Elephas maximus indicus: one gene and its partners. The protein of the gene in region 2 interacts with the protein of the main gene of each other region in a pairwise test. Links are inferred from orthologs where the notes say so. Each region holds a gene or a part of one and is shown on either strand. Other genes may lie near its edges.

Region 1 (7,196 bases), on a different chromosome or scaffold from region 2:
ATCTCATCAAAATACAATAAAATATGGTTTTAAAATATGATTAACCCCTTCTGCTTTTCTTTTCCATTAGGGCATATAAACCAAAAATATCCAAACTACTGCTGTATTATTTAAACTTTAACAAAGCATATTTGGTTTATTTTAATGTAACTCAACCATCCTAAATTAATACATAGTTTGTTTTCCTTCCTGCATGGTTCTTTGTAATTTTTGTTCCTTTTGACTTGTATTTCTGTTTCAACACAGCTTCCTTCTTCATTTTCACCTCTTTCCATCTGCAAAGTCACCTATCTCCGGTCCCCTAGAACATGTAGTTGAACTCACTCAGCCCCTTGACATCAGTTTCTGTAATCCTTGCATCAGTGTAGGGAGTAATTGCTTGAGTAACTACAAAGGTATTTCAAAACTTCAGTGCAATTTGGTTCAGTTATTTTCATTCAGATGCCATCACCGTTCGGGGAGATTAATCACCGGAACCCACTGATCCATGTATCGACTTTCCCGGCAAAAACAAATAAGTTGACTTAAGGCGGGATCCTTCCATTGCGATGAATGTGGATTCTGGGAACAAATTTAGGAAAATAGATGTATTATTATTATTTTTTTTTAAATCAGCATTTGCTAATACTTACACTACCCTGAGGGGAAGATACTTAAATATTCTATCTCTTCACTATGTAAAATAGAGATAAGTTACAAGCATAAATAATAAAATTTCTAGGTAGTTAGATTACTTGCACAATTGTTAATTATCTATTAAACTATATTCTGCAGAGTCTGAACACAGGCAATCCACACACCACATACATATATTTACATGACGGTATTATTGTTTTGCATGAAAATATCATTCACAATCTTGCCCTGCAAAACTGCACCCTGGCAGAGACCTGAGTGAAAGAACTTGGAGAAATATCTCCACGCTGTACGTGCAGTGAGATGAGCTGTAGAGCAGTTAAATAGAATTGCCACCCATTATCCTCCAAAAGATTAGAGCAGCAAAACAGTCTGCCACTTAACTAGAACCAGTCAGAATACAATAAAATTTAAAAGACAAAGCTACCACATTTACCTCTGAAAGGTTTTTTTTTTCCTCCCCAACAACAAAAGGGTCCATTAAAAAAATGCAAGATTGCAAAGAAAAAAAATTTCCACTCTGTCCTCTTAATGTACTTCTAGGGAATTAATAAGGTCTGTCTCCTACACCACTTCTATTTTTAGCTCTGACTGGCAAAGAATGAAGCTGACTCCTTAATGAGGGTGAGCCAGGAATTTATTTGGCTTTATCTAATCTGCCCTGTTAAAGGAATTAGTCACGGGAGGTAGTGCAGATGTAGGTAGGGAGTAGCTGGGCTGACAATGCTGACTCACAGGGATCTCTTCCGCTGCTGGCAACCTCCAACGTGCTTAGACATGTTCTGTACCAGGGAAAATCCTGATGATGAAACTAGCACATTCGGCTGAAAGTCCGACCACACTCTCTAGGAGGGCAAAGGCAGCCACCCTCTTGACTCCCACCCGCTCTAGACCTGCAGTCCAAGAATTCTTAGCCCTTCCTTACTTCCTTCCGGGACTTTAACCCCCGGCCCCGCTGCCCCCTTCTCACTTACCGTCACCAGCACGCAGTGCAGGTCGGGGGGCTGCTCGGCGCCCTCGCTCGCCGCCCGGCCCGCGTCCGGCTCCAGCAGCAGAAGCTCGGCCAGCCGGCCCGGGTTGCTGACGCGTAGGATGTTGATGTCGTTCTCGCAGCAGAACGCCTGGATCAGGGTGAAGTGGATCTGCAAAGCCACATCCCTGTCGTCGTCCTCGTCCGCCGCCAGCAGGCACAGCACCACGTTGTCGGGGTCTCTGCGGGCAGCGCGGGGGCCGGTGAGCGCCCAGGCACTACAGGCCCGCGCGGGCGCCCGAGAGCCCCGGTCCGCCTCCCCTGGGTCCCCGCGGGTCGCGCTCCGGTCGTCCCCTCCCCCCCCCGGGGGCTGGCACACACGGAGGCGGGCGGAAAGCTGCAGCAGGACTGGCGCTGCAGGGCCAGGGGCGCGCCGCAAGGGCGACCTCCCAGGCTGGGCGGGAAGGGGCGCCCCGAGGGGACACGCGAGGGCCCCACTTACACATTGAGCAGCTTGGCCGCCTCGTACACCCCGACGGTGATGGTGCGCTGACTCAGGGCTTTGCTGAGCACTTCCTCGAGGGCATCTCCCACCTTATCCATCCTAGACGCGGCCAAGGGCGGAGGAAGGGGTCCCGTCAGTCCAGGCCCCCGCGAGAGCCGTAGCACCCCCTCGCCCCGTCCCAAGTGCAAGTGCCACCGTGCACCGGGGCTTTCTGCAAGCCGGGGCTCCCGCCGTCCAGCCGGCCACATCCCCTCACACTCTGAGGCCGGGACAGTGCCACCCGCCACCCTCTTCGGAGGACACTGCCAATTCCCGGCGCTGGGCGCAGCCACAGGCTGCCAGCCGCAGGAGCCGCGCGGGCAGGGACGACCGCGCTGCCCTTTGCAAAGACCCACGGAGGGACCCGGCCGAGCTGCAGAGAGGGCCCGAGGGAGGGTCCCGAGGGAGGCCGGGCGGACATGCCCTCTGCAAACTTTTCCGCCCGCTCCCCGCTACAGCTCCACAGCCCTCTGCACCTGGGGTGCGCGGGGTGGGCGAGAGGGCTCAGGGAGAGGCTGGGGAGATTGCCACCAGCCCGAAAAGTCCGCAGGCTGACTTACCTTTCGCTCTTCTGCTCTCCAGCCGAGAATTCCTCCAAAGTCATATTGCAACTGCAGGTCCCCCACAGAGAGCGGCGTGCGGGCTGCTCTTACCACCGTGGGCGCGCGGCGGCTGCTCTCTGCACGCCCCTCACAGGCACCGTGCGCCGACTCCGGCCCCTCAAGCGCGCGGTCCCCGGCACTGCCCGGCCGCCCCTCGCCCGCCCGGGCTCCTCCTCCAGCGCCCGCCGCCGCCGCGCCCTCCGCCCCTTGCGCCCGGTTCGCTCGCTCGCTGGCTCTTTGACCCTCGCCAACGGACGCGGAACGACGACTGCAGTTGCTCCACAGCCACTGAAGGACAAAGGGCCCGACTCGCCAGAGTTATCCTGTTAACCTCCAGCCAACCACCTCCCGCCTTATTTGCATACTACGCAGCCACTGGGCTATGCAAATAAGCCTGGTCTGGCAATTTGACCCCAGCTGCTGGTTCCAGGCGGAGAGGAGCGGAAGAGGGAGGAGCTACGCGGGAGGCGGTACTAGGGGGCGGGGCGGTGCAGCGAGAGTAGGGGGCGGGGTCTCGAATCCTGTTGGCGGGGCCGATCGTGGAGAGGGGTATAGCTGTTGAGGGACATAGAGGGGGGCTTGTCTTCAACTTGGGCTGGAGAATGCTGTCAAGTGTTTTTCTAGTTGGTGCACATTTTTTATTATCGTTTCATGTCTTTTGTTTTTAGGGGTTGCTGTTAAAGTCTGTTTCCAGGGTTAATACACCCAAGTCTAGTAATTACTAGTAAGCAGGTTACATAAAAAGAGTGTGTCCAGACCTCTGGGGCAGTTTACCTCAGAAGAGTTGTTTATGTAAGTCTGAGCAAAGCTGCTTATTAGTAGTAGTATTTTTTCGGTGCCTTGATGGCTGGTTTGATTTATTTTTGGAAGGTTACAAGGGCTGGAAGCTCAAAAAAGAAAAATCAACACATTTGTGTTTGATGGTGGCAGGGGACCAAGTTGGAGTCTTTTCCACAGAAAACAGAAAGGCTTTCCACCTGCCCAGTGTAACCCTGGAAAACCACGAGCTGGTGCACGTGGGGAGCTGGTGGCCACATGTGTGAATCCCAGCTGGACAACCCCAGTTCACCTTTCCCGGAGAGCCTTTCCCTAAGGAGGATCCTCCTGCACCGGTAAAAGCCAAAAGACAAATGTCTGACACCTTCACATGCCACAGCCTTAACTCAAATTGCTCTCGATATGCCCTAAGCTTCCTTTCATAAGGCAAGTAAATATGTCACTACTTTCCACGGAGAGGCTATGATCTCACTGTGAATTACTGACGTTGGATGCAGAATCATGAAGCTGTAGCTATAGCATGTTTGTTATATGCTAAAATTTCACCTTTGAGATAATGGCAACCTGTCGGTGGAAAGCAGGCCTTTATAACTGCAAACAGTAGTCACACATTTTTGAAACAAACTTTAATATATAGACTTTCTCTGAATGGGTCAAAAGCCCCTTTCTTTGTTTTATGACTTTATGCAATAAATGCAGAAATATTTCTTAAACCTACTTAAGTAACCAAAAGTGGTGAAAATGCCTCCCGCATGCTTGCACTAAAAACAGTGCTTGCATTATTAAGGTCGCTGTGCAGCCAAAGGTCACAGAAGTAACTTTTTTACAAAGATATCAGGACCAGAACCAGTATCAATTGCCGGTGATTCTGACTCATGGCGACCTCAGAGTTTGAGCAGCTGATTTGGGGGAAGTAGATCTCCACTCCTTTCTTCTGAGGCATCTCTGGGTGGACTCAAAGCTCCAATCTTTCTGTTAGCAGCCAAGAGTGTTAACTTTTTACACCACCTAGGGAGGCAAAGATAACATGGAAGTTTTTGTACCCTTACAGAGCAGTTTTTTGCAGCCACTGCAGTGGTGTAGTGGTTAAGAGCTACGGTTGCTCACCAAAACGCCAGCAGTTCGAATCCACCACCAGGTGTTCCTTGGAAACCCTATGGGGCAGTTCTACTCTGTCCTATAGGGTAGCTGTGAGTCTGATTCAAGTGGAGGGCAACGGGTTTGGTTATTTTATTTTTTTTATGTTTGTATCAACGAACCTTGTGGCACAATGGTTAAACATTGGCTCTTAATCGAAAGGTCAGCAGTTTGAACCCACCAGCAACTCCAGGGCAGAAAGCTGTGGCAGTATGCTTTCGTAAAGATTTATAGCCTTGGAAACCCTATGAGGGCAGTTCTACTCTGACCTATAGGATTGCTATGAGTCTGAATCTATTTGCTGGCAATGGATTTGGGTTTTGTGTGTGTGTGTGTGTCATTCTTGGCAAAATATTTTCTAGTTCTCTTGTTCTTAATTTAATGGAAAAGTGATAGGTCAGGTTTCTGGTTCACTTATCCAAGCTGTCATTTTTCACTCAGTCCCTAACTGCACTGTGAGCAAGGGAATTTGAGTAAAAGAATGGTCACGGTCATTGTTTAATTCACCTAAGGGTGCTTGTGTATCTTGTATCTGTACCTTAAATTCTAACATGTGGTGTCTTTGTTAAAGAATTCCTCAAGATTGAAACTTAGGTAGGTGCTGAAGCACTTTCAGTTTTGCAAACAAAACTTGAATTACACAATCTAGCCTGAATCATCGTTTGGAGATTGTTGAACTGTGTTCCTCGGAACTGCAACGTTCTTTACACTAGACGTTTCTCAGAGGCTCTCTGGAAGGAAATGTAGTCACAAGTCACAGCAAAGACTGTGACTTTATCAACTTGATGTCCTCAGCACCTGGCACAGTGTCTGCATTTAGTAGAAACATAATCCATGTTTATTGAGTGGAGTAGAATCCAAAATTTGAACAGGATCGTGCAATTCCTTCAGTCTTGTGTATTGCATGAATTCCCTCTAAAATACTTCACATTTAACTTTAGTTAAAAAACGAACAAACAAATAAACCCAAGAACTGTCCATTCTTGATCCTTTGCCTTTAAAGAACTTATGATCTAATGGATATGTTTATGCTTGAACAGGATTTTAGGACAAAATATTATGCACTGTCACCTGCTAGCTATGCTGAAAGTCCCATGACTTTACTCATCTGAATGGAAACTGTAGGACAGTAGAACTCATGTATTGTTTACACCAATTCAAATGAAACACAGTTGTAATAATGTCCCATCCAAGTCAACTATGTGCAGTAAAAATATGGCATAAAATAGTTAATTCTTTATATAGGGGTAGTCCCTCACTCAAAAACTACGTTGCACGCTCTATCTGGCCTCATGGGAAAGACGTTTGTTCAAGTATTGTGGGGTTTTTCTCTGCGAGATAAGCCCAGGCTTCCAGTATTCAAAAATATCTATTTGTCATACTTTCTGACTCAGATATGTTACATCATTTTGCCTTGTTGCTGAGTCTACCTAGACGTTTCATCAGTGATTATCTTCAAAGTTGGGCCTTGTGGCTGCAAGTAGAAACTACAAGTAGCTGCATTTGAAATGTAGTTATGCATCGGAATGATCATAGATGGTTTTTTTCGTAAATGCTTATTTGTCATCGGGAAAGAAAGAGGAATTAGTATCCAACAGTAAATCAGAGGAATTTCCCTAGATAAATATACATATTTTTTATAGCCAGTGTAAGAACTCCAGTATGTGAAGTCATTTTTAAGACTACTCCAGGTAGCCCTGAGTACTTCATTTGCACAGGATTAGAATGACCTTTTAGTAGTATTTGAAAGGATGCCAAATGGTTATATTTGGAAATGAGATGGAAATATGTACTCAAGAATTGTGGAATTATTTTAGCATTGCTACCTGCTTTGCATGTGAAAATCTTTATGATATATTCTTCACTTTTATCATATATACATCCCTACTACTGGTTCTATGGAAACCCTGGTTGCATAGTGGTTAAGAGCCACGGCTGCTAACCAAAAGGTCAGCAGTTCAGGTCCACCAGGTGCTCCTTGGACATTCTATGGGGCAATTCTACTCTGTTCTATAGGTTCGGAATCAACTCGGCGGCAGTGGGTTTGGTTTTTTGGTTTACTGCTGGTTCCATAGTACAGAATTATAACTTTTTTCCTTTTAAATAATAGTCAATCCTTTAACATCTGAAAGAAATATGATGTTTGTTATTTCAGTATTAGAAAGATCATCGTTCACAGTAAAGAAGACAAGTTAGACTATGACGGATGTATCTACCACCTACCTAAAATATAGAACTGTGTTACTATATTGTGAAAAGTCGTAAGGTTCCTGATATACATATTTTTTGTACAAGTCTGGTGAAGTTAGTTTCTAAATGCAGACCTGAGAATTTCCCTCCTTTTTTGAAGATCATTCAAACAAGTTTTACCATCACCTAAAAATGTGTGGTCTTGTTTTAGGATCAATATTTCTGTTTGATTTTAAGATAAAGGTTTGGTTTCTTGAGCCATCACTGTGATAGGCAGAATTCTCAGATGGCCTCCAGGAGCTTCACCCCCTGGTGTTTCACTTTGTATAATTCCTTCCCC
Region 2 (7,792 bases):
GATATTAGCTGACACCAGGAAACATCTCAGCCCTGAGGGCTTCTGGAGCAGCTGAAGGTTCCCCGCCCCACTTACTCCTCCCTAGTGATAGAGAGCCACTTAGCTGAGCCTTAGGTGATGGACGCAACTGGATTCCTCCTGTGCTCACCATCCCACTCCTAAGCACTGCTATACCAGCATCCTGGGCAACATGCCACAAGAAATGAAGACTCATGGTATCCTCTCTCCCCATCAGCCACCCCACTAGACACTACTAAAATAGGCTGCTCTGGCTCAGTGGGGACAAACAGCCAATCAGAGATGCACATTTAGGCTCTTCCATGCCTAGAATGGTTGTCATCTTCTTTTTATTAAGAGATGTCCCAGTTGCTTCAAAAGGAAAATTGCAACTTTTTTTTTTTTTTTCTGGTCTAAAAAGGGGACTGCTTTGATACTGCCTTTTTTTTTTTTTTTTCAGTCATGGACAAAGTTACAAAGTTCCATTCATTATCTTACCATGAAGGCTTGATAATTTTTAGGCAGAGGCTTAGGACAGAATTGAGCAGTCTGTGAACCGTGGCAGTACAGTGAAGTCCTCAGCATCTATATCCCTATCCTGTGAGGCCAGAGGCAGCTTCCTAATAAGATACCTCTTAGAATGACAGGTGCACACCCCGGTCCTTGGGCAACAACATTATTCTGCATTGATCTCCAGATACTCAAGCTTGGGGGACAGCCTGACATGCCAGCAGATACAGAAGCCACAAAGACACACCACTGAGAGGGGACAGGGAAGGTGTTCCCCACAAAGTAGGAACCACTTCCACATGGGGGAATCAAATAAGGAATAAGTGAGTACGCCAAGCCATACATTATAAGCCAGCAACCAGCGTTCCCCAGAACTAACCAGCCCACAGATACAGCCACAGGACTCACAGACACGCGTATTAAGCTTGTTCCCTCTGACTCCTGATAACACCTTCACTCAGATCTCACACCATTAACGTGACTTCAGCCCAGGTCTGGAAATAATAGAACCTGAAACATATCTTGTAAGATATGCTAATGGATCTTTGCCCACCTTGGCACTTACATACCGAGTTTCTACTATGTTGATTTTCATTCACTCAATTTTGTTTTTTTCTTCCCTGCTTCCTAACTCCCCTATTAGTCTGGGGGCTTCCTGAGTGCAGGAACATTTCTTCCTTCCTCTGCACTGCACAAAAATCAGCACACAAGCAAGACATCCAGTCAACAATGCTAAGTAGTCCCCCTCCTGGTTCAAATATGTCCATAGCTAGCTAATTCCTTCCTCCTCAGTCCCCTTTCTCTCTCTAAAATCTCCAAATCATTTTCTTACTCTTTGCCCAATGGGTACTAAACATTCCTATAAAATAGTCCTCTATACTTCAAAGTCTAGCTCTTGGTAGGGTCTTGGTAGGATACTGAAGTGAAATACTTTACGAAATAAAAGGCCTAGTCCTAACCTCAAGTGTTGTAAGTGTTCAGGCTTCATGATTTATTACCATGGGCTAGAACCCATGAGCCTAACTAAGTCTCTAGCCCCAACCTAACTGTTTTTGAGATAATCTAATTTGATTAAAAAGGCCCAAGGATCAGGGTTTTGCAAGTAGGTCTTCTTGGTTATATTTCCACTGACCTCTTTTTCCTGGCATTACTTATTGGTGGCTGTAGGCCCAGTGAGGCCTTTGCAAGTCCTGCAACCTACATACCACCTAGGCTGGGGTTGGCATACCCACTTATTGCTGTGACTCGCCAAAGAAGGGAAAGGCCCTGCCTGGGAAAGATACATCAGAGTCCAGAAGAGTCCTGAGGCAGCACGGTCTTACCGCATCAAACTCCGCTTGATCATCCTCAGGTAGGTCACTGGTTTCATAAACATCTGGCTCGTTCCTGGCCTGCAGGCAGAAGCAGTGATCACCAGACCTCACCACCCAGCATATCCACCAACACCCCTTCCTCCATTCCACTTGAACAAACAGAAAAGGCAGGCTGTGATGCCAGGATCCTGTCCTTTCTCTTCCACCTGTCCCTAACAGCATGTCAGTTCCCCATGACTCAGTGGGGTGGGGATGACAGAGGGGACAACTGGGACCTGATTGTAAATGGTATGTACTGATGACAAAGATGTTACTCATTACTCTGAATCTGAAGGCTGGGGGAGCACGTCCTTGGCAATCATATCACAAGTAGGTGAGGGCTATCCTTGAATTAGGCCCGGAGCACCACTACCCCGGCACAAGGGTTAAGCATGAGTCGGGACCAAGGTCCTGTGATCCAACCCCTACCCGGAAAATACAGACAGAGCCGCACAAAGAGGGAACACGCAGGCATGTGCATGGGGGAAGGGAGGGGCAGATTCCCGGGGGACAGAGTTCCACCTCTGACACAAGAAAAGTTCTGCCACCCTAATCTCTTCCTTGGCAGGGTGAAGGCCATCACCAAGTATCCTGTTGTGTGTGTTCTGGGGTGGCGTGAGAGGTGGGGGGTTTATAGGGAGATTTGGGACAGCACGGGAGGTGTTGACACTGGTGGTAACACTAGGGCACAAGTGGTAACGACCAGCAACGACTTCGGGGCCGGGGAGCCGGCGCCTGCCGGGAAGGGGGTCTGGTGCGCCGTCCGACGGCCCAGCTCAGTCGGATAGAAGGAGTCCGGAAGGTGCTGCGGCCGGTCTCGGAGCGAGGGGAACGCGTCCTTGGGGCGGAGGAGGGGCTTCAGGCGGGAGGGGTTCGGGTTGGTGTCTGTTGGGGGTCCTAGGGTGGTCGGGGGCGCGGTCCTGGGAAGCCGTAGCCAGCCCTGTACTCACAATGCCGGGAAGGTCGGCGTATTTAGGGTCCGCCATGGCGGCGGCGAGGCGGGGTGGGGGGACCGGGGCCTCAGTAGAGCCGGGGCCGGTGTTCAGGTAGGGGAGAGGATGAGTCCGGGTCCCGGGCTAAGACGGCGGCAAAGGGAGCGGCGCAGGAGGCGGAGGAGCCGGAGGTCTCGCGACAGGAGTAGCACAGCAGAAGGGTAAAACAAAAGTCGCGAGAATAGCCTGATGCCACACCTCCGGCTAGGCAGGGATTGGCGAGAACGAGGCCAGAGAATGAGGTAATGGCAGGGATGGAGGGGAAACGCCGCCTGGGATTGTGGGATGTGTAGTCTTGGCGGGCTGGGGTTTGGGCAGGGAACGACAATAACGCGTCTTGAGGAGCTGTTTTACACTACTTATTTTCTTTCTTTTTTACATCAAGTCTGTGAAAGAGATCTTATATTTCCTTTTTTTCAGATGAATAAATTGGAACTTCCAGAAATTAAGTGGCTAGATAAAATCACAAAACTCGTCCTGTTATGGCATAGCCAGGGCTTGAAAAACAAGTAAAATTTAGTAAACGCTTAGAGCATATTAAGAGCTTTGGTGATGTAGTCGTTAAGTGCTATGGCTTCTAACCAAAATATCAGCAGTTCGAATCCACCAGCCGCTCCTTGGAAACCCCATGGGGCAGTTCTACTCTGTCCTACAGAGTCTCTATGAGTCAGAGATGATTCGACGTCCACTTTTTTTTTTTTTAGTGCGTATTAGGTATGGAAATCTTATCTTCTCAAGTTAGGGGTGTCATAAAATACAGGACGCCTAGTTAACTTTGAATTTCAGAAAAACAACTAATAGTTTTTAGTATAAGGGCGCATGCCATATTTGGGACATACACAAAAAATTATTAATTATCTGAAATTCAAATTTAACTGGGCTTCCAGTTTTTTTTTTTTTAATTTGGCAATCCTATTTCAAAGTTATATAATAGGAAAGTGATACTTCCATATCTGTCAGACCACCCTCTGTGCTCTTAACCACTTCACTAATAGTTTCAAGACCTTTGAATTTCACAGTTCAATAAAATTGAAACAACAACAGCAAATCTTTTTGAGGATAAACACCGAATTGCTACCTTTTTATTTTTCCAAGTAAATACATTAAAAAAAGAAAACCTACTGTCTCTATCACCAACTTAGCAGAAAAATAGGAAGTCTCAGAATAAAAGACAGTTCTTTTAAACTTAACTAGCTTTGTGAAAAACTCACCACATTGTTCTTTTCTTTAATAATATTTTATTGTGTTTTTTTGTGAAAGTGTTCCTGTTTGACAATTTCCACACAAATCTATCAATGACATCAGTTACATTTTTCACATTGTATCAACATTCTCTTTGTGCTCTGGTTGTTCCATTTCCAGTACTCTAGTTTCCCTGCCCCCTTATCGTCTCATCTTTACTTTGGATTAAATGTTGACCTTTTGGGCTGGTACAGATGGTTTTTTAGCAGAGCACAGATCTAAATGGTAATATATCACATTGTTCTTTTTGGGGGGTGGGGAGGGGAGGGCTATCCAGTGACCCTTCATGGCCTGGCATTCTGAAACTACTAAGTATGTTTCCCTGAAGCTCCTGGGGCCTCAAGGTTGGGATGTTTCCCAGGATATTTCTCGAGCTTGCAGGATGCTGCAACACTTAGAAATAGTGCCAGACAAAGTGACTGGAGAGATACCTATTTTCCTGAGTTTAGAACTCGTTGTCATTCTATCTACACTTTCCTGGCTCCTCCCCCAAGCCTCTACCCCTCTTTCTCCATAGTTCCACTGCCTTCTCATCCAGTTCCTTAAGCTGGATCGTTTTCCCTCAGTTCTCTTAAGATTCAGGTGGGTTAGAGATATAGGTCTGATGGGAACTCCCTCCTCAGATGAGTTCTGAGTGGTTGGGTCTTTTCTGGCCAGGCCATCAGCCTCTTACCCTTGCCCCTTAGTGTCTAAGTGACCTTAGACACTTAACAGACAATTGCTGGGTAGAACCTCCATTCCCTCCTCCCTGCTCCCATCACCCTGCCCCTCCCCTTGGCCCAGAGCTTCAACTCCTGCAGTCCAACTCTCTGTTGGCCAGCAAAAACCTGTGACATGGAGAAAAATCAATTCACCAGCTTCTTGGTGGTTCTGCCCCATGGGCTGCAGCTGTAGGTTGACCTGGGAGAAAGAAGGACAAGGCTTTTCTGGGCTTGACTTGTACCAGGGAAGGGAGGAGAAGCAGAGAAGAAAGGCCTGAGAAAGGGGCTGGGATATTGGGATTCTGTCCAGTGGTAACTGGAACAGGAAACATACATAGGTGCTTAAACCTGCTGAAACCCAAATGCAGGTGTTCACCCTAAGAATCCTCTCAGAGGCCCCTGTAGCCTTGCCCACTCCTATCACCACTCTCCTTCACCGCCTTCTGACTCCCTTTCTCTTGCAAAAGTTACTCCTGCCCACCTCCATCCCAGTCTCAATTTAGTAGGCAAAAATGAGAAATTCATCTGCTTTTGAATTCTGATAGGCCAGAATGGGAGTTTGTCTTCTTTCAAACTGGGGACCTGGTGTGTATGTTGGGGAGAGAGTAGGGTGCACCCTTGCATATAGAAGGGGAAGGTGGTAGCCAGACTTGCCCCTGATACCTCTTCCCCAAGAATGGGACCTGGAGACCCACCCTCAATACAGGTACAGGCAGCTGCCCTTGAAGGTTGAGTGGGTTGGGAATTTGGCATCTGTGCGTGGGAGGTGAGACGGGGGAATGAGAAGTGGGCTCCCAATTTAGAGAGAGGACTGTGACGGGGGTAGAGGATACCCCGGAAAAAAGGGATGGAAACCTTGTTGACCCTCTTGTTAAGACAAGCGCACCTCCGACCCTCTATTCCCTTCCAGGGGGTGGAGGGAGGGACAAACAGGTCGGGGGAGGGGGACGCAGTGTATGAACTGGATTGGGAAGGGGTGAGGCAAGTTATCTCCGAGCCTCAGGGGTGAGTAGGGGACAGGTGGGAGTAGGGAGGAAAGGTCACACCCTGCGCTGGTCATTGTCGTGCGAGCGGTTCCCGGCGAGGGAGGCCACGCCCCCCGCTCCTCATCGCGGCCCCGCCCAAGCCCGCAGCGCTGCGCTGCAGCGGGAAGGGCGGAGAGGCAGAGCGCCGCGAGAGCACCAGCCGCCAGGTCCCCCGCCCGCACCCCAGTGCCGCAGGAGAGAAAGCGCGCACAGGTCCTGCTCCCAGTCTTCGCCTCGGCGCCCCTCAACAGAGACCCAGCTCCTCTCCTCCGCCTCGGCCTCAGCTGAGCGCCCTCCTCCTCCGGAGCACACATCACCCCTGCAGCCCCAGAAGTGCCCCAGCCCCACGTCGGCGACCACCATGACGGAGACCAACAACGAATGTAGCATCAAGGTGCTCTGCCGCTTTCGGCCCCTCAACCAGGCAGAGATTCTGCGGGGGGACAAGTTCATCCCCATTTTCCAAGGGGATGACAGCGTCGTTATTGGGGTGAGTGCTGCCCCTGGAAGGGATTGGGGGGGGAGGGCGGGAGACTGAATCTTATACCGCAGAGCCTAAGCGCCTGCCTGTCACACTGCGCCCCCTCCCCTCCACTCATCCTCCATCCTCCATCCTTCATCCTCCAACCATCCTCCGCGCCGCAGTCCCTCCTTCTCTCCCCTGCATCAGGATGGCTGGGTGTGGCCTGGCCAGGCCAGCGGCCAAGACTCTGCAGAGGGGGAGGGGGCTACTTCTCCGGGACTAGGGGAGCCAGCTCGCCTTTACTACTCTCTACAGGTTCGCCACCCCTTAGAGTCAGTCCCGTGTTTTTCTGATCTTTTCCCTCTCTCCCCAGAGAAGGTGCATCTTCTCTTTGTTATTGGCTCAGATCTGTGCCCCTCACCTCCCAGCAAGGGAGGAGAAGGCTAGTGGATGGGCTAGATGGGAGGTGGGCAGTCCAGGGTCTCTGCGGTGGTGTGAATGGAAGTGGGGTCCAGGACCAAATCCGGGACCAAATTCCTCCATCATCCCCTAAATTAGTTAAGGCCTGGACTTGGGGGAAGGGCACAAGTCTGTTGAAGGGTGTTCTGGGAAAGGAATACATGGATGCCACGCCCAGCTTGGGGGAAGCCTCTGGGGTCCTAAGGAAATGTCTCCCTTTTCCTCCCAGGTACAATAGGAAGAAGATTTCAGACCCCCCAACACTTCCCCTCCAATAAGTAAAAATGCTCAAACCCAAGATCCTAATAAGTACCTGCTTATTCATCCTTTCCCTTGATGAACCAGTAAAAGGTAGCAAGCCACCTCTACCTCATCATGATAATCCTTAACCATGGAGGAGGTCTTGTTAAGAAGGAAAATAATATTTATTGTGTTCTTGTCACTCTATCCATATTATTTAGTTCTTAAAACAACACTCTGAAGCAGGGATTAATATTTCCATTTTACAGTTAAGGACCTTGAGGCCCAAAGAAGTTAAATGACTTTCTCAAGGTCACACAGTTAATTCATGGAGCTGAATGCAAATCTGTGAGTTCAAAGCTCATGCTTTTTCCTCTACATCGCACTGCCTCTCCAGATTTCTGTTCTGGACCTTTATCAGTTATGACTCAAAGGGAATTGCTAGGCCTCATCCACTCCACCTTGCCTAGGCTGGTGGAATGGGGTGAAAGGATCTGGGAATTGAGTCCTGTGGGGCTTGAGGGGTACTGGGCCAGGAAACTGTAGCCCTGCTTAAGAAGGGAGGGGCGAATTTGAGGGCAGTCCCTGAGCTTCTCAAGGTCAGGAGCACTTCTTATGTATCTTTGATCCACAGTCTTTGACACAAGGCAGCTGGAAACACGCTTGCTAAAGGAATGAAAGGAGAGGAGGGAACCTGGGCTCTATGAGTCAGTGAGAATGAGATTTTGAGTAAACATGTCTCAGGGAGAGGTCTGCTTACCCATCCCCAAGGATCCCCAAAGGGGACTATGCCACCACCCTGTCCCCTCAC
Region 3 (7,876 bases), on a different chromosome or scaffold from region 2:
CTTAATAGGAAGGATTTCTGCAGTAGATGAATTGCTCCAGACCAGCCCTGCATTCTGGCTGTCAGACCCTTCCTTCAAATTCTTATAACAAAGTTCAAAATAGAAAACAAATCAAAGAGGAGTTGTTTTAGCTGAAGTGGTTGAAAACCACTGGCGAACAAAAGGATCTTCCGTTGGAGTAGGAAGGAATTAGGAGAAGGTTCTAGACAAAGCTCTGATGTTAACTGCTTCTGCATTGTTGGGAAAATCCAACATATCCCTGGCCTGAGGTATATTAACACATACCTAATAAAAGAATTGTGCAGGATGCTTTCTAAAGTCACTTAAACCACCAAAAATGCTTTGATTATAATAGAAGTAAATCAAAGTCTTGATTCACTTTCTTTTCTTAAAATCAGAATTTATTTTCCACATCTTACCTTTTAAGGTCTTTATACACAGATTTCATTTTTAGTTTTACATATTAGATATGTAGCTAGTTAAATAAGCACTCTCGATTCTTTACCCTTGGATCACATTTGGTCTTAATTTGTTACAGACGCTTTGCATTACTAATCCAAGCTCTAGAAGTCTGAGAGGTTTCCAAGTGTCTTCAGAAAAGATAATAATTTGTTGGTGACGAGCATTGTTTAGGAAATTCATCTGCCTTGAAATGAAACTGAGCTGCCAAAACACTTTCATTTCCTTTTTTTTCTAGCTTTTAGGGGCGACCAAGTGATGTAGTTAAGGATGCGCCTTCTAGAATCAGACTATCAGGGTTCAGATTGTGATTCTGCTGCTTCCTGGCTACTGTTTTGACCTTGGACAAGTTACTTAACCTCTCTCTGCCACAGTCTCCCAACTATAAAGTGGAAATAAGAAAAGCATCAATCTCGTAGGGTTGTTGTGTAGATTAAATGAGTTAATGTTTGCCACGGTCTCAGATGGTGATTGGCAAATACCAAGCTATTCAATGCATAGGCTGTCAATATCTTCCTTTTTAGTGTTTCTAATCCACTGCCAAGAACTGACTGCATAAAACAACTCTTACATGTCACTCACCTGCTTGAAAACATATGATCTTCCATCATATACATGAAAATGTTCAACACCTTCTAAATATTGGCCTCGCCTAACACTCTACCCCCTTTTCTCCCTTATTCTCTATCTTTTGAAGTCCCGTCCTCCTTAAAAACCAATCGCATAAGTTATACTCTCCTGATAAGTCTTCCCAGATCACACTTGTAAGGCTTATTCTCTCCCTCTGCCATATTCTCATAGCACAAGAGTGAAGCTCTATTGTACATAGCCTGCCTGGGAGTTATTATATATGCTGTGTCCCATTTGACAGATTATGACCTCCAGGAGGGCAGGGCCTGTATCATTTTTGACTTTGTATCCCCATAGTACCTAGCAGACAGTTTTACACTTAGTAGATACTCAATAAATGGTTGTAAAACTTGGTTGAACCCACATAATTTTTTTTTTTCTTTTTGGCAGATGCCGTGAGTAAAACATAAAATAAATGAATTACTTTTCCTCTTTCCATTGCAATATATATGCCCTGGGTTAGTGGGTATTTGCAAGCCTGGTTTAGAACTTACGGATGTTATCAATCTAAGAATGGAGAGGAAATGCATTTTAAATTACAAGAACAATACAGCCTTATATAAGGCCTTCTAGCAAAGCAATTACCAATTGCTCAATAACCCAGGTGCTAGAGTTATTATGAACAAAAGTTTGAGGTTGAGAGACAATGAGTGTTCTTAACATTTATATTCCATAGGTATGCAATTCAATGAAATATGTACAGATGGAAAGTTTAGATCTGAGAATCATATGTGGGTATCATAATGCAAATAAGAACATCTGTTGAAACATCTGAAAGCAGTTGTTTATACTCTTGCCAAAATGTTGAAAAATATAATAATTCTCCAACGAGGTTAGATATATCCGGGGGAAGAAAAATACTTTTTTATGTAGTTCTGTTTTTATTAAATCTTGTTGTTGTTTCTCAAATATGGCACATAAGAGATACTCAATAATATTTGTTGGTGAATAGCAGAGAGTCATTAAACAGTTGTTGAATGAATCATTTCTTTTTTTTAGACTTAAAAGATCGATACACTTCCAGAAAACAGTATGCCCAAGTTTTACCACATCATATACCATTTTTATTTGGCATAAATTTAAGAAATGCCACGCTTTCTCTGAACATTATAGAATGTAATCAGCAAGTAGGTCTACAAGAAAAATATCTTAATGCTATAGAAAATACATGAAGAACACTAAATATGATAATGGCATTTTAATATCTTAATTATGGTTCTTTTATTCATTATTGTGAAACACTTGAAGTTGGAATCGTGGGCTTGCATAATAATGTTATATCAACAAAACAAAATAAAAAACCCTGCTGTTGTCTATAGTTGTGGTACTTCTAGAATACTCTAGCTTAGTGTTTAAAAGCACCAAATATTCTGGGCGTGTGAAGAAGACCACAGAAGATGAAGAAGCAAACCATCTCACCCCACATGTCCTTTCCTGAAATTCCAACAGCTCCCTTCGACACTCCTGTGTGAGTGAGGCAACTAGACTCCCTAAAGGCTGCCCAAATCTCACTCTGCCAAGTTTCAGAACGGAAAGAGAATGTTAAATAATATATGTGAGTTTGAGTGTAACTAATAAAATTGGAATGTTAAATAGCAGCATGCTTTTGAAAACCAGCCTCCTTGTGAGGATGCTCCCTGTGCAAGTCCATAGGAAATAATTCTGAAGGGAGTGATATTAATTAGTAATATAATTTATCTTCTGGAAGCCCTTTCCTTTGATGGCAGCCGTGGTACAGTTCATAAGCCTCCAAACGAGTGCTCAAAGAAAATGGCTCAAACCACAATTTCAGCTTTGTTTTTCATCCTTGAGCAAATAAAAGAGTCAAATTTATTCCTATATATCTAAATTTTACACGTGTCTATATGATGGGGAATTATGAAGTTCTAAAAATGCTTTTATGAAGCTTTCAATGAAATAGTAAAATACTTGTGATATAATACAAGGAAAAAAGAGCGGAAACAAAAATTAAATTCATGGCCTCTGATCACAGATTTCTTGGGTTCAGAGCTCACTCTGCCATATAGTAGATATGCAACCTTGGCAAGATACTTAACTGTTCTGTACCTCGGTTTCCCCCGCTAAGCAATGAAAGCAATACTAAAATCATTCTCAAAAGGATGTAAAGTGTTTGGAATAGTGCCTGGAAAATACTCAGTAAATACTATTGTTACCATCATTGTCATCATATACTCACAGTAGTTTTAAGTTTACAAAGGAAAAATGGCAAGGTGCAGGGGATTAGCTGGCAATAGCCAAAATGCCATTAATATTTGCTTCTGATTTGTCAACTTATGGGTAATTCTTTTCAGCATCATTATACTTTTCAGTATGTATTCCTTTATAATAAAGTTTAAAAATCAAATTATGCATACACGGCTTGATGGAAATTAAGGTGGAAATCTGGAATAGATTAAAAGTTATAATCAATTATACTACAGCATTAAGGAAATACATAGATGGTGGGGCAGAATTTACATCTACCTTATTTTACTTAATTCTAAATACATTCTAACTAGAAAATACTTTTTAAAGTTTAACCAACGTCAATTTAACATTCAGAAGTGGAGTCAATTGTTTATTCAAATCTCAATATTTTGACCTACTATAAGTAAAAATATTTTATTTTTTAATTTTAAAAATCTCATGCAAAAGTCCCAAAGGTGCCTTTCATGTTTAAGCTTTAATTAGCAACCACTTTGGTCTCTGACACATATTGCACAGATATTGAAGTGTTAATATAACCGCAGCTTGATTACAAAAGGCAATGATTAATTTTAAAGCAGACAAAAAAGATATGCCCTGATTACAAAGGAATGATTAAGGTGGAATGTCAGACATTGCACATTTATAGCAGTCTTTGCCATATTCAAAGGATAAGACTTTGCAAAAGTTTATATTTAGAATCACGGGTACATTGTACTTTATAATACTGGGCGTTTGACTAACAGAGACAGATCACCTCAACTGCATGTAAGGCCTAAGACTTCAGGGAGTTACGTAGCCCACAGGAAACCGCCTCTGAGGTAGAATGGGCCCAACGAGACACCGTAGTGTAAGCTCTCTCCTGGCAGAGCCTTATCTGCCGAGGCACCAGCTCTGGCCTTAGCGAAGGTTTCTTTCTCGGCAGTTTTTGGTAAGTACACATATTGCTGAGAGAAGGAAGTCTCCAAAGATTTCATCCCTAAAAAGAGAAGGATTGAGCGGAAAAGGCTTACCACGGAAAGGGCCGCTGTCGAGACCCACTAGGAAGCCAAGGCCCAGGGCTTCCATTTTTATTTTGCCCTGGGACAAAAAGCCAAACCTGGAGTGGGGAGAGGCCTTCTCTGAGGGGAAAAAGGCAGAGTTCAAACTATTGTCCTAGATGAACCGAGGATTTGAGGGAGAAAAAAACGGGTTTGTGGACTATAACAGGGGAAACAAAGGCAGCGAGAATGGACTGCGAGCAGAGGGTGAGGAGCCAGGAGGCTGCCCCGAGCGGGGTTGGGGTCTCGGCCCCTCCCCGGGCCCCGGCGGTGCCCCAAGACCCCCAGGCCGACTCCATCCTATGTCGGGCTCCTGCCTGGGCGTGGGGAGGCAGTCAGGGTAGTGGAGGCCGATCTGGGAATAGCTCAAGAATAATCTTTCTGCTTTATTGTGCTTTCCAGGATCCTCCGCCTTGGTTATAAAATACTGAACGGTGAAAAAAGGATTCACAGGAGCCTGGGCCTGAGATGAGTTTAGAGTCCTTGTTTCAACACATCATCTTCACCGAGCATCAGGCTGAGGAGAGCCGTCGCTTGATGCGAGAAGGTCGGGGGATTGCTGTCATTGTGCACGAAGCCTTATTGTCTCCTTGAGTTGGGTGCTTGGAGCCGAAGGAAATCCTGAAAGCAGTGGTCAGAGCAGTTAAAACCCCAAAAAAACCAAACCCGTTGCTGTCGAGTTGATTTTGACTCATTGTGACCATATAAGGACAGAGTAGAACTGCCCCATAGAGTTTCCAAGGAGTGCCTGGTGGATTCGAACTGCTTACCTTTTGGTTAGCAGGTGTAGCACTTAACCACTACAGCACCAGGGTTTCCACACAGCAGTTAGGGGAGTTCGTTTTCCACCTTGGGAAATAAAGCTGAGATTTGCCTTACTAAATGCTACCCAAAAAAGGGGATTTTTAGAAAGATTGATCTGTATGTGAGTCAGAATCGAACTGACTGCAATGAGTTTGGTTTGGTTTTGGGTTGATGTGTTTAAGGATTTAATTTCTATTACAGTCAGGGCCGAAACAATCAGATGTCGTGAAAAAATTAAGAAAGCAACGGTGGAGCTGAATGAAGAGAAGATCAAGTTGGAATCTAAGGTATTGACCATGGAAAGCATGCTAATTAGCACTTGAAAAAAAATCAGGTTTAACTTGACCTTTTAGGAGTGTTTCACTTATTAACTGCTTGTCCTTCAAGTAAGAAGCACACTATTTCTGTGCTGGTTGATGTAGCTCCATGTTGTCTGGTAATATTTAAAAGTCCGAATCCAGTGTACCTTCAGTTCTAATATGAACTTGCTTTAAAGAAACAGTTCAAGTAATGATGTAAATAATGAAGAGTTCATCGTCCATTTTGAAGACTGGTTAAGATTTTTAAAGTGTAATGTCATTGGAAAAATAATTGTTCAATAAGTAGTTGGCATAATATATAAACTTTGAATAATAAATAACTTAAGAAGCATGCTGTATTGATACAACTGTTGAATGTAACTTTCGAATGAGTTTCTGCCTTTTGTTTTTCAATTCTCTGCCAATTTTGGACACCATTTGTCATCCAAAAAGGGTAATTTTTCAACTAACATGTCTCACTTTTCTGCAGCTTTTGTAAAGTGTGTTTTTTGAACTGGAAGTAAAAGAACCTGGTAGCTTCTTGAAGGAGGATTTTGAAGTGTGGGAAGAATATTGGAGAGGCAAAGAAAATAGGAGAAAAACATTGGGTTAAGAGGATATGAACAAAAGGGAGAAAGTAGAAATGCCTGAGGCATATTGGGAGAGAAAGCTAGTCAAAGCAAGGCTGATATCTGGGATTAGAGGAACCCATTGGTTTTTATCAGGGAAGGTATGATAAAAGCAGTTTTAGGAGAATCTCTCCCAGCTGCGATAAGGAGGATGGGAGCAGCATATAGTTAGGAAGCTAAGGACATCATCTAAATATATCACAGTGAAGGCCTGGCTATGGGTGGGGACAGACAGCCATACAGAAATACAAATTTGGCACCTAATGATGAACTAAGCAAGCAGTATGCCATGGGAAGTCTGTTTGAGAAAGTCTGTGTGCTTAAGATAAACATATCTATTTTAACTTACCACTGTGAATAATTTCCATTTTTCTTTGTGAGTAAAGTAATCACAGAATCCTTCTCCACCTGATGAGGTTCTTCTCTTCCTTTCTAAATCTAGCTCAGACATTACCTGTGAAGCCATTCCATGAACATTTTGGAAAATGTACAGATGGCATGGGGGCAGTGTCTGACCTCTTCTTACTCACAAGGGAGAAGGAGAATCAAGATCAACAGCCCAAGGCTGAGTCCTATGAGGCGGAGGTCAGACATACCACCTCTTTCTGCCGTCTTTACCAATTCTGACACCAACTGTCCCTCCCATGCATTCTGTACTTCTGTGCCAGGTTCGATAATTCATTGCAGTGGCCACAGAGAACTTACAGACAATACTCATGATTTTGGGGTTTATTAGGAAAGTAACAGGTTACAGTCCAGGTTCAGGAATGCTCAGGATACAGTTCTTCCATCAGGACAGGCTCTTCCCAGTCGTGCTTGCAGGCATGCCTCTTCTGGCCTTTGGCCCCTGCCCTGCATGGGCTAGTGTCACAGAGCTCTTTTAGCTCTGCTGTTAAGTGCCCGGAGGTATGCCACTCTGCCAGTAAGCCTCAGCCCAAAGGCACTCAGCTCTAGCTCTGTGGGTGGAGGAAGCCCACCATGCTGTCTCCTGGATTGCCAAGCCTAGCGTCACCAACTGCCTGGAGGCACCTTACTGTTCCAGCAAACCTCCTGCCCAAAGGCACTCAGCTTTCTTGCTTTGTGGGCTGGGAAGCTCAGCACACTGTTTTCCTGCTGCAGGTCTCTGCTGCTGCTGTTTCTCTGCCACTGCTTCTCACCATCTTCAGTGTAAAAGCCCTCTCAGTCTCTAGATTCCAGGAGCTTCTCAGTCCAGGGATTACGGGTCCAAAGGACATGCTGTGATCTTGGCCCTTCTTTCTTGGTTGTGGTGAGATCCCACCTCTGGGATGGCTCATTTTAAGCTCAGTGGGATGGCAAAACTGACCAGTCCCCTTGGTGGGCCACAGTTACACTATTTGTACAGTCCCACTCAATCACTTGGGTGGGCGTTACAAGCCAAGGCAAGAAAGATGGCAGAAAAGTGATCCATTGCACCACAAATTTTTTTTTTAATATTTTACTGCATTACCTTACAACTAAATAATATTACATACTTGTGTTTGTGTCTGTTTCCCTTACTGTTTTGTGAACAAAATATCTGAAATTATTTTTCTTACTCATATTTTTATTGGTTATAGGATGGTGCCTGTATCTAATGCCTAGCACATAGTCTACATTAATGTTTTGAATGAATGAATGAGTACCAATAGTGCGATAATAGGGACAGTGTTGTTTTTAAAAATAGGAGTTGGAACTATTGTTCAGTGAGACCCTAGCTCTTGCTTTGCTTGTGAATAGCAGATACGCTAGCTGCTACCAGCAATACTAAAACTGGTGCGATGGGCAAAACATTAAGAATGTCATGATATAG
Region 4 (7,570 bases), on a different chromosome or scaffold from region 2:
GTAGGAAGGGCATGAAAGCCAGAGAAGGCTGGTTGCAGAGGTGGCTGAAGGTGGGCAGGTGTAGAGTCCTCAGACTTGACCAGAGAGAGAATGGGAAGGAAAGGATGCCAGTTCCCAGTGAACCAGACTGGAAGGAAACTGAGACGGGCAGGGAGCCCCTGGGTGCTCTTTAAGAGAGCTTGTTGATGGAGCAGGGCAGGGGGCAGACTTGGGAAGGCTCAGGAGTGGGGTGGGAGCTAGAGGAAGTGGCTACCTGCCCCTCTTGGGAGGTCTGGCTAGCAGGGGAAGGACAGGATGAATCGAGAGGACTTGGTTTTTGGAACAGGAGAGATATGAGCATGTTGGGTAGACAGAGGGACAAGAATGATGGAAGCACAGAGAGGGGAAGACAGTAAGAGGCAGGGTGGGAGGCACGAAGACGTAGTGTCTGATGTTTGCGTAGTTGAGCCCTAGAAGGCCAGTCTCCTGGTGAGGGGACAAAAACTTGGAGGAGGAGGCTCCTGGGTGCAGCGTCACCACAATGGGGCAGGAATGTGGGCCACAGGACGGGTGGAGGCAAATCCAAATATGTGGGCTGGCTCCACTGAGGAAATCGAGATGGACCAGTGTTGCTGAGATGTGCTGAAACCCATGTGAAATTGTTCACTACAGGTTAGTAAGCACAAGTAAGCTTGTGCTTACCTTGCTTACTGGGTCATCCGCCCCTATTAGGAATTATAAATTGGAAAAAAGGCTTTGACTCTATAGGAAGGTGGTGTGGGGCTGGGAGAGGGACAGGTGCCAGCCATATCTAGAAGAAGAAACTTTAATGTGGTGAAAAAATGTGAAATTGTTTACCATAGATGGTCTGGTAAGCAAGGCAAGCGCCATGCTTACCTTGCCTATCAGATAATCTACCCCTAGGAAGGAAAGAAACCAAGGGGAGCAGTCAAATGTCCTCTTCTCCAGGCTGCTTGGCACAGGCAAACAACCAACCCTGCGGACGAGCTGCCCAACGAGCAAGGAGGGAGAGAGGCTGGCTCTACCTGTGAGCCAAGCCACTACAAGGTGAGGCGGTACAGGGCACTGCTGGTCAACTGCATGGTAGAAGGAGAAGACATATAAGGAAATCAGCTAGATCTAAGGGGCAGGGGCAGAAGACATTATTTCTGTGGCTTTCAGGAAGGGAAGTCAGGGAGGTAGCCAGGAAGATGTCAGGAAGAGAGAGGGTGTGTACAAGATCTCAAAGAGGAAAAAGCAGCTGAATTTAGCAGCTGGAGGAGGGTGGGGAGTCAAGAGTAATAAGGAATCTCAAATAAGGCCACAGTTCTGGGCCCAGAAAGACGCACCCTCTCCCCTTACTTGCATGGGCCTTCCATAACCCACCTGGCATCTGGGGCCTCTGCCATCCCAGGATGGGGAGGGGGATTACATGGAAGAGTGGTTATAACCAAAAGCTGGTTCAGAATCTGGCTCTGCCACTTACTAGATGTGTGACCTTGGGAGAGCCACTTTGCCTCTCTGTGCCTCATTATCCCCATCTGTAAAATGGGAAGAACTCTACCTTCTACAGTTGGTGTAAAGATTAGGCAACACACATATAAAGTGTTCAGAGCAATACTGGCAAAAAAAACCCAGTGCCGTCGAGTTGATTCCGGCTCATAGTAACCCTACAGGACTGAGTAGAACTGCCCCAAAGAGTTTCCAAAGAGCGCCTGGCGGTATACAAAGAGTTAAAATTTTTATTTTTCAGTGACCTCCCACTTGTGGTGGATGAATGCAGAGGGGACAGCTGGAGGAGGGGGACACCTACCTTCCCGGGTTTAGGCCAGGTGGCAGAACTGCAGGGTCAAGGGTTTCCTCCTTCTCCCAGACCTGGGGCATTTCAATGATTAAAGGACAGATTTTGCAACTGCCCAGGGACTGCTGCTGGGGAGGGCTCAGTCCCCCTGGGAGTACAAGCAGAAGGTCAGGGAGACTGCACAGGGGCTGGGATCTTCCCTGCACAGAGCCACACATCTGCGTTTTTCACAACAATCCAGATTTTAAAATTCTCTGCTCTCTTGTGCCCTTAAGGACAGTGGAATTCATGACCCTGCATCCTAAGGTCCAATCACTGCAAATACAGGGCCCCATTCTGAGGCTGCATTCCTGGCAAATGACTCTGCTGGCCAAGGAGACAGCTACTTTATCAAGGGCATGGGGCATAGTCTGGGCAAGAATGGGTGCTCCCCCAGCCTCAGGGAGAGGGAAAGCCAGGGACCCGGAAGGGCCAGAGGTGGTCACAACCCTCAACCTTGAGACAGATGTGCTCATGGTGATGGCAAAGGGCACTTGAGAAATTAAATACAGCTTCCTCTTTACAATCTCCCAGGACCAGGCCTAAGTTCGGCTCTAACTCGCTATGAGGGGCTTAAGGGGGTGGCTGCTGGGACCTCCAGCCTACCGCTGGCAACGGCCCGATTCCCCACTGCCCAACAGGGCACCTGCCAAGGTCCTCTTTCCTGAACTGGGGGCTGGCCCACCCCACCCCGGCCCTGCCAGCTGGAAAGCGAATTGCTCAGGGTACGTGGTGGGAGGCCCCAAAACTGCAGCCTTCAAAGGAAGGAAGCAGCGCTGATTAACATCTGCCTTTCTGGGGTAGGGTCCGCGCTCTCCCAGGCCGATGGAAACGGAACGGGGGTCCCGAAGCTGCTCTGATCCCAGAAGACGTGCCGCTCCCGTGCCCAGCTCGGGGCACGGTCTTCGGCCCAGGTTGGACAGTGCCAACGGACCGCACAGGGCTGGGTCTCCGGGGCCGAAGCCGGGGCCGGGCCTTCCCCCGCGCCCCAGCGGGCCCGGACACAGGGGTCCGGCGGTGAGGAAGGGCTCGGACACGGCGCCCCGTACGGCGGGCCGGGTGGAGCCCAAGCGCCCAGCCCGCCCGCAGCCCGCCGGGGCCTCCGACTTACCCGCCTCACGGAGGCACGATCCCGGGGTCGCCGCAGCGCCGGGGGCTCGGCCCGGCCCGGCCAGCCGGCTGGAGGCAGCTCCACGCCGCCGCCACCTCCTCCTCGGCCCGCCCTGCTCCGCCCCGCTCCCGCCCCTCCCGCACACTTTCCACAGGAAATGATTAGCTCGGGCCGCGGCGCGTTCCCATGGCAACTGGCTTAGACCCCGGCGGGGGGCGCGGCGCGCGCACTCACGCACACGTGCTGGCCCGGGCGCGCGCCCCCGTGCACTCACACGCGGGGGCTCCCACCCTGAGGCGTCAAGCTTTCACCCAGACGTGTCCACGCGGTCTCTCCCGCCTTCTGCGCCCTGCACACGCTGGTGCGCACATATTTCCACAAGAACTCACACTTTCACGCACCGAGTCTTTCACACACTCTGATACACGTGTTCTCTCACGCTACTGCAAATGCTTTCACACACACTCACACAAGTCTCGTAGGTCTCACACATATTCATCCACTCGTTAATACACGGTTGCCAGGGCTGGTGGTGCAATGGTTAAGAGCTTGGCTGATAACCAAAAGGTCAGCAGTTCGAATTCACCGGCTGCTTCTTGGAAACCCTATGAACGGACTCGACGGCAACGGGTTTAGTTAATTCACGCATGCGTTTGCACACAGGCTTCCACACTAGCACTCACACCCTCACACCGTAATACACAACTTTCACACACTCTAGTTAGCGCTTACGCGCACTGTCACATCTCACATGCTTTGCCTAACAAGCCAGTACACCCGTTCTTCACATTCTCGTACACCCTCTAGTTAGTACATGCACACACTACCACATGTTCTCACACACGCACTCACCACATACAAGCACAGCACTTTCACACGTGCTCTCTGACGTGGTTTCCCACAAATGTTCTCACACGCTCTATTGAGTACTAGTACACACATTCTTTTAAACCCTAGTACACATACTTTGAGAAGTCCCTAGTGGTGCAAGTAGTTAACTAAGCAGAAAGGTTGGTGGTTTGAACCCACCCAGAGGCACCTAGGAAGACAGGCCTGGCCATTTGCTTCCAAAAGGTCCTAGCTTTGAAAACCCTATGGAACAGTTCTCCTCTGCACACATGGGGTCACCATGAGTAGGCATTGACTCGACGACAACACATACTCTCATACAAACTCTCACACACTGTAGTCACCTCACACAATGCACTTTCACACGTTCTCACACATACGTTCACACACATGCCCTCACTCACTCTAGTATGCACATGTAGGCCAGGCTGCCTCCCAGTCACAGCAAACCCCCATCCCCACGCCCCAGCAAATTAACATCTTCCAGAACAGGGAAGCATTTGGGGTTTTTAAGGTACAGTATTCCTTTCAGCTCCAGTGAAAACATGTTGAGAGTGCAGCAGCCCTGGGAGTAGGCAGAGGCTCCCGGCCTAGCTCCAGCCTCTTCACAGGGCGTGGGGGAGGCCAGGGGGCCGGCAGACCAGGAGAGACAGCTGACCCGGAGGAGCTACTCTGTTCTTTGTCTCCCAAACAGAGGCGGCATTTTATTCCAGAGTCAACAGCACTATTCCCCCTTCAGGGTGCGGAAGAAGGAGAAAGAAAAGCTCGGAAGCCAGCCCAGCGCGCAGACCGATGGTTCCACAGATAATCCGAGCAGGGTGGGCACTCTGCCCCTTCCTGCTTGGCAGAGGATGGCTCAGGAGGAGCGAGACGGGAGGGGATCAGGCAGTTCCAGTCTCCTGCTGCTACCAGGGCCACAGGCTAAAGGTCAGGAAGCTTGATCAGAGCAGACTGAAGGCCTGAGCCTCAGCCACCTGTCTCAGTGGCTGCCAGATGAGGCCACTCACAGCCCCTCTCCCCACTGTTGGAGGTGGGCTAGCGTGTGTTTTATTTTCTAAATGAGATGCCCAAGCAAAGGCCCAGTAGAGGATAGATGTCATTCTCCTGGGGTGCTCTCTGGAGAGTTAGACATTTCCAACTAAGAGCTGAGGAGAACCTTCCCAATGGGGGAGGCTTTATTTTGAGAGTATCCCCTGTCTGCCCCCACAGACAGCAGTGGTCAGGGGGGACTGCAAGGTTAGATGAGGTTGAAATCTCTCTAGATTTCTGGGCAAGTATCTCCCTCTAGTATAAACCCATTGCTGTCAAATCAATTCTGACTCACAGTGACCCTGTAGGGCAGAGCAGAACTGCCCCATAGGGTTTCCTGGACTGTAAATTTTTAGGGAAGCAGATTGCTGCATCTTTCTCCTGCTGGTGGGTTCCAACTGCCAATCTTTTGGATAGCAGCTTAGCACTTTAACCACTGAGCCACTAGGGCTCCTCCCTCTATTATAATAGTCTATTATTTGACTCGAGGGCAGTGGGTGGGCTATTTGATTGGTGGTGGTAGGCAGGGGCTGTCCTTAAAGTCTTGGTATAAAACCGGAGGTCTTATCTTACTTTCGGGTTGGCACGTTGACATTAACTGCAGGTTCCTTCCAACAAAGCCAAAGCCAGAATTTTAAATTAATAATAACATTTATTGTTCTTTCTCTCTGATTACAAGAGTAATAGATGTTCATTGTAGCCGTAATCCCACCCACTAGAGATAAAGGCTGCCAACATTTTAGTAGTCTTTTTTTTCTCTATGCACATAATAGCTACCATTTATTCAAAGCTAACACTGTGCCAGGCACTGCACTAAGCTCTTTATAAACAAGATCTCATTTAACCCTGAACACCCTATAAGGTGGGCACCATCATATCCCGGTTTTGCAGGAGAGGAAACTGAGCCTCAGAAAGGTTAATTCACAAAGCCGGTGTGTGACAGAGCTGAGACAGGAACCCAGGTAGGGTATCCACATGCACACACACAGACAAAAGACTACTAACCAGAGGTTTGCTAAACCCACCCAACGGCATCACGAAAGAAAGCCTTGGCTATCCGCTTCTGTAAATATTACAGCCAAGGATACAACCAATGACTGCTCTGACAGGGAACACAACAGAGAATCCCTGGTGGAGCAGGAGAGCAGGAGGATGCAGGCCTCAAATTCTCATAAAAGACCAGACTTAATGGTCTGCCTGAGACTGGAAGGACCCGGAGGTCATGGTCCCCAGATGTTCTGTTAGTCCAAGTCTGGAACCATCCCCAAAGCCAACTCTTCAGGCAGGGATTGGACTGGACTATGGGATAGAAAATGATACTGGTGAGGAGTGAGCTTCTTGGCCCAAGTAGACACATGAGACTATGTTGGCATCTCCTGTCTGGAGGGGAGATGGGAGGGCAGAGGGGACAGAAGCTGGCTGAATGGACACAGGAATATGGGGTGGAGAGAGGGAGTGCGCTGTCTCATTGGAGGAAGAGCAACTAGGAGTACATAGCAAGGTGTGTGCAATTTTTATATGAGAGACTGACTTGATTTGTAAATTTTCACTTAAAGCACAGGAAAAAAAAAAGAGATTACAACCAAGGAAACCCCATGGAGTAGTTCTACTCTGTAACACATGGGGTCACCAAGAGTCTGAATCAACTCGATAGCAACGGGCTTATAAGAGTTTACTAAGATCAGAGCACCAGTGAAGGAAAAAGAAAACTGGGGCATTAGAGGAAGCACGTTCTGGCTCCAGCAAATACAGCTTTGACCTGAAATATAAAAACAAATTGTTTCATGATTGTTGGAATTTTTTTAAAGAATGTTCACTCTCACCAGGAACTACATACCAAATCCAAGGTCATTTCTAGCCTAGAATTTCATTGATGGTTTGATTGAAAGGCTGCCAAATCTGCCCTAGGCACAGAGGAGGCCAAGGATTTGACAGAGACTTGTCCGTCCCAATGTGAAGTCATGAACCCACGAACAACACGCTTGGCTTCTGCCCCTGGCCTTGGCCCTCCCTGCCCACAGTTGGACAGAGGCATACCTGTCTCGGGGAGGGCCAGACAAAAGGGTAGTGGCAAGAACACTCCATACCCATGTCCACCTTGACCCCTACACATGGGTCAGCAGTGCCATCTTTTTGTTCAAAGGGCTTGAGTCTCCTTAACACTCAGGGAGGGTCATCTGTCAGAGGTAGCCAAGGGGCGGGCCATGGGTACTTCTTCCCAGAGGGAAGCCAAGAGAAAGAAATGAAAAGCCAGTTTGTGTTTGATCTGATTGTCATAGTAACCCAGAATAACCCAGAGTAAAGCACAGATTTACATGATTTTCCAGTTTTAATGATTGAACTTGAGATTCGATGACCTCCAAACCCATTGCTGTCAAGTCAATTCTGACTCATGGTGACCCTATGTGTTACAGAGCAGAACTACTCTATAGGGTTTCCTTGGCTACTACCTTTACAGAGGAGCCATGGTGGTGCAGTGGTTAAGAGCTATGGCTGCTAACCAAAAGGTTGGCAGTTTGAACCCACCAGCTGTTCCTTGGAAACCCTATGAGGCAGTTCTACTCTGTCCCATAGGGTCGCTAAGAGTTGGAATTGGCTCGACAGCAATGGGTTTGTTTTTTTGGCTTTTATCTTTATAGAAGCAGATCACGAGGCCTTTCTTTCATGGGTGGGTCCAAACCACCAACCTTTCGGTTAGTAGCCGGGTGCAAGAGGATTGTGCCACCCAGGGACTTTTGATTACCTACCGTTAAAGCCTTAGA

The links.
Region 1: the proteins of DCTN2 (region 2) and GADD45A interact in binary tests that used the Homo sapiens proteins (3 or more experiments, as listed by UniProt). The link is inferred for Elephas maximus indicus from reciprocal best matches to the Homo sapiens genes DCTN2 and GADD45A.
Region 3: the proteins of DCTN2 (region 2) and CCDC172 interact in binary tests that used the Homo sapiens proteins (3 or more experiments, as listed by UniProt). The two-hybrid records come from large-scale screens. The link is inferred for Elephas maximus indicus from reciprocal best matches to the Homo sapiens genes DCTN2 and CCDC172.
Region 4: the proteins of DCTN2 (region 2) and KIFC3 interact in binary tests that used the Homo sapiens proteins (3 or more experiments, as listed by UniProt). The two-hybrid records come from large-scale screens. The link is inferred for Elephas maximus indicus from reciprocal best matches to the Homo sapiens genes DCTN2 and KIFC3.

Annotation. Positions count from the first base shown.
Region 1 is NC_064821.1:113,651,064-113,658,259, reverse strand, and holds the start of GADD45A (growth arrest and DNA damage-inducible protein GADD45 alpha), read right to left. Parts: upstream 3,064-7,196; 5' UTR 2,755-3,063; coding exon 2,711-2,754; intron 2,211-2,710; coding exon 2,109-2,210; intron 1,849-2,108; coding exon 1,611-1,848; intron 562-1,610; coding exon 448-561; 3' UTR 1-447. UniProt on the Homo sapiens protein: In T-cells, functions as a regulator of p38 MAPKs by inhibiting p88 phosphorylation and activity.
Region 2 is NC_064822.1:117,449,736-117,457,527, forward strand, and holds the start of DCTN2 (dynactin subunit 2), read right to left. Parts: upstream 3,011-7,792; 5' UTR 2,846-3,010; coding exon 2,810-2,845; intron 1,899-2,809; coding exon 1,830-1,898; intron 1-1,829. Other genes in the region: KIF5A (kinesin heavy chain), read left to right, coding at 6,181-6,309. UniProt on the Homo sapiens protein: Part of the dynactin complex that activates the molecular motor dynein for ultra-processive transport along microtubules. In the dynactin soulder domain, binds the ACTR1A filament and acts as a molecular ruler to determine the length.
Region 3 is NC_064834.1:67,089,878-67,097,753, forward strand, and holds the start of CCDC172 (coiled-coil domain-containing protein 172), read left to right. Parts: upstream 1-4,802; coding exon 4,803-4,881; intron 4,882-5,339; coding exon 5,340-5,425; intron 5,426-7,876.
Region 4 is NC_064839.1:24,689,262-24,696,831, forward strand, and holds the start of KIFC3 (kinesin-like protein KIFC3), read right to left. Parts: upstream 3,038-7,570; 5' UTR 2,931-3,037; intron 1,855-2,930; exon of another isoform or gene 1,793-1,854; intron 1-1,792. UniProt on the Homo sapiens protein: Minus-end microtubule-dependent motor protein. Involved in apically targeted transport. Required for zonula adherens maintenance.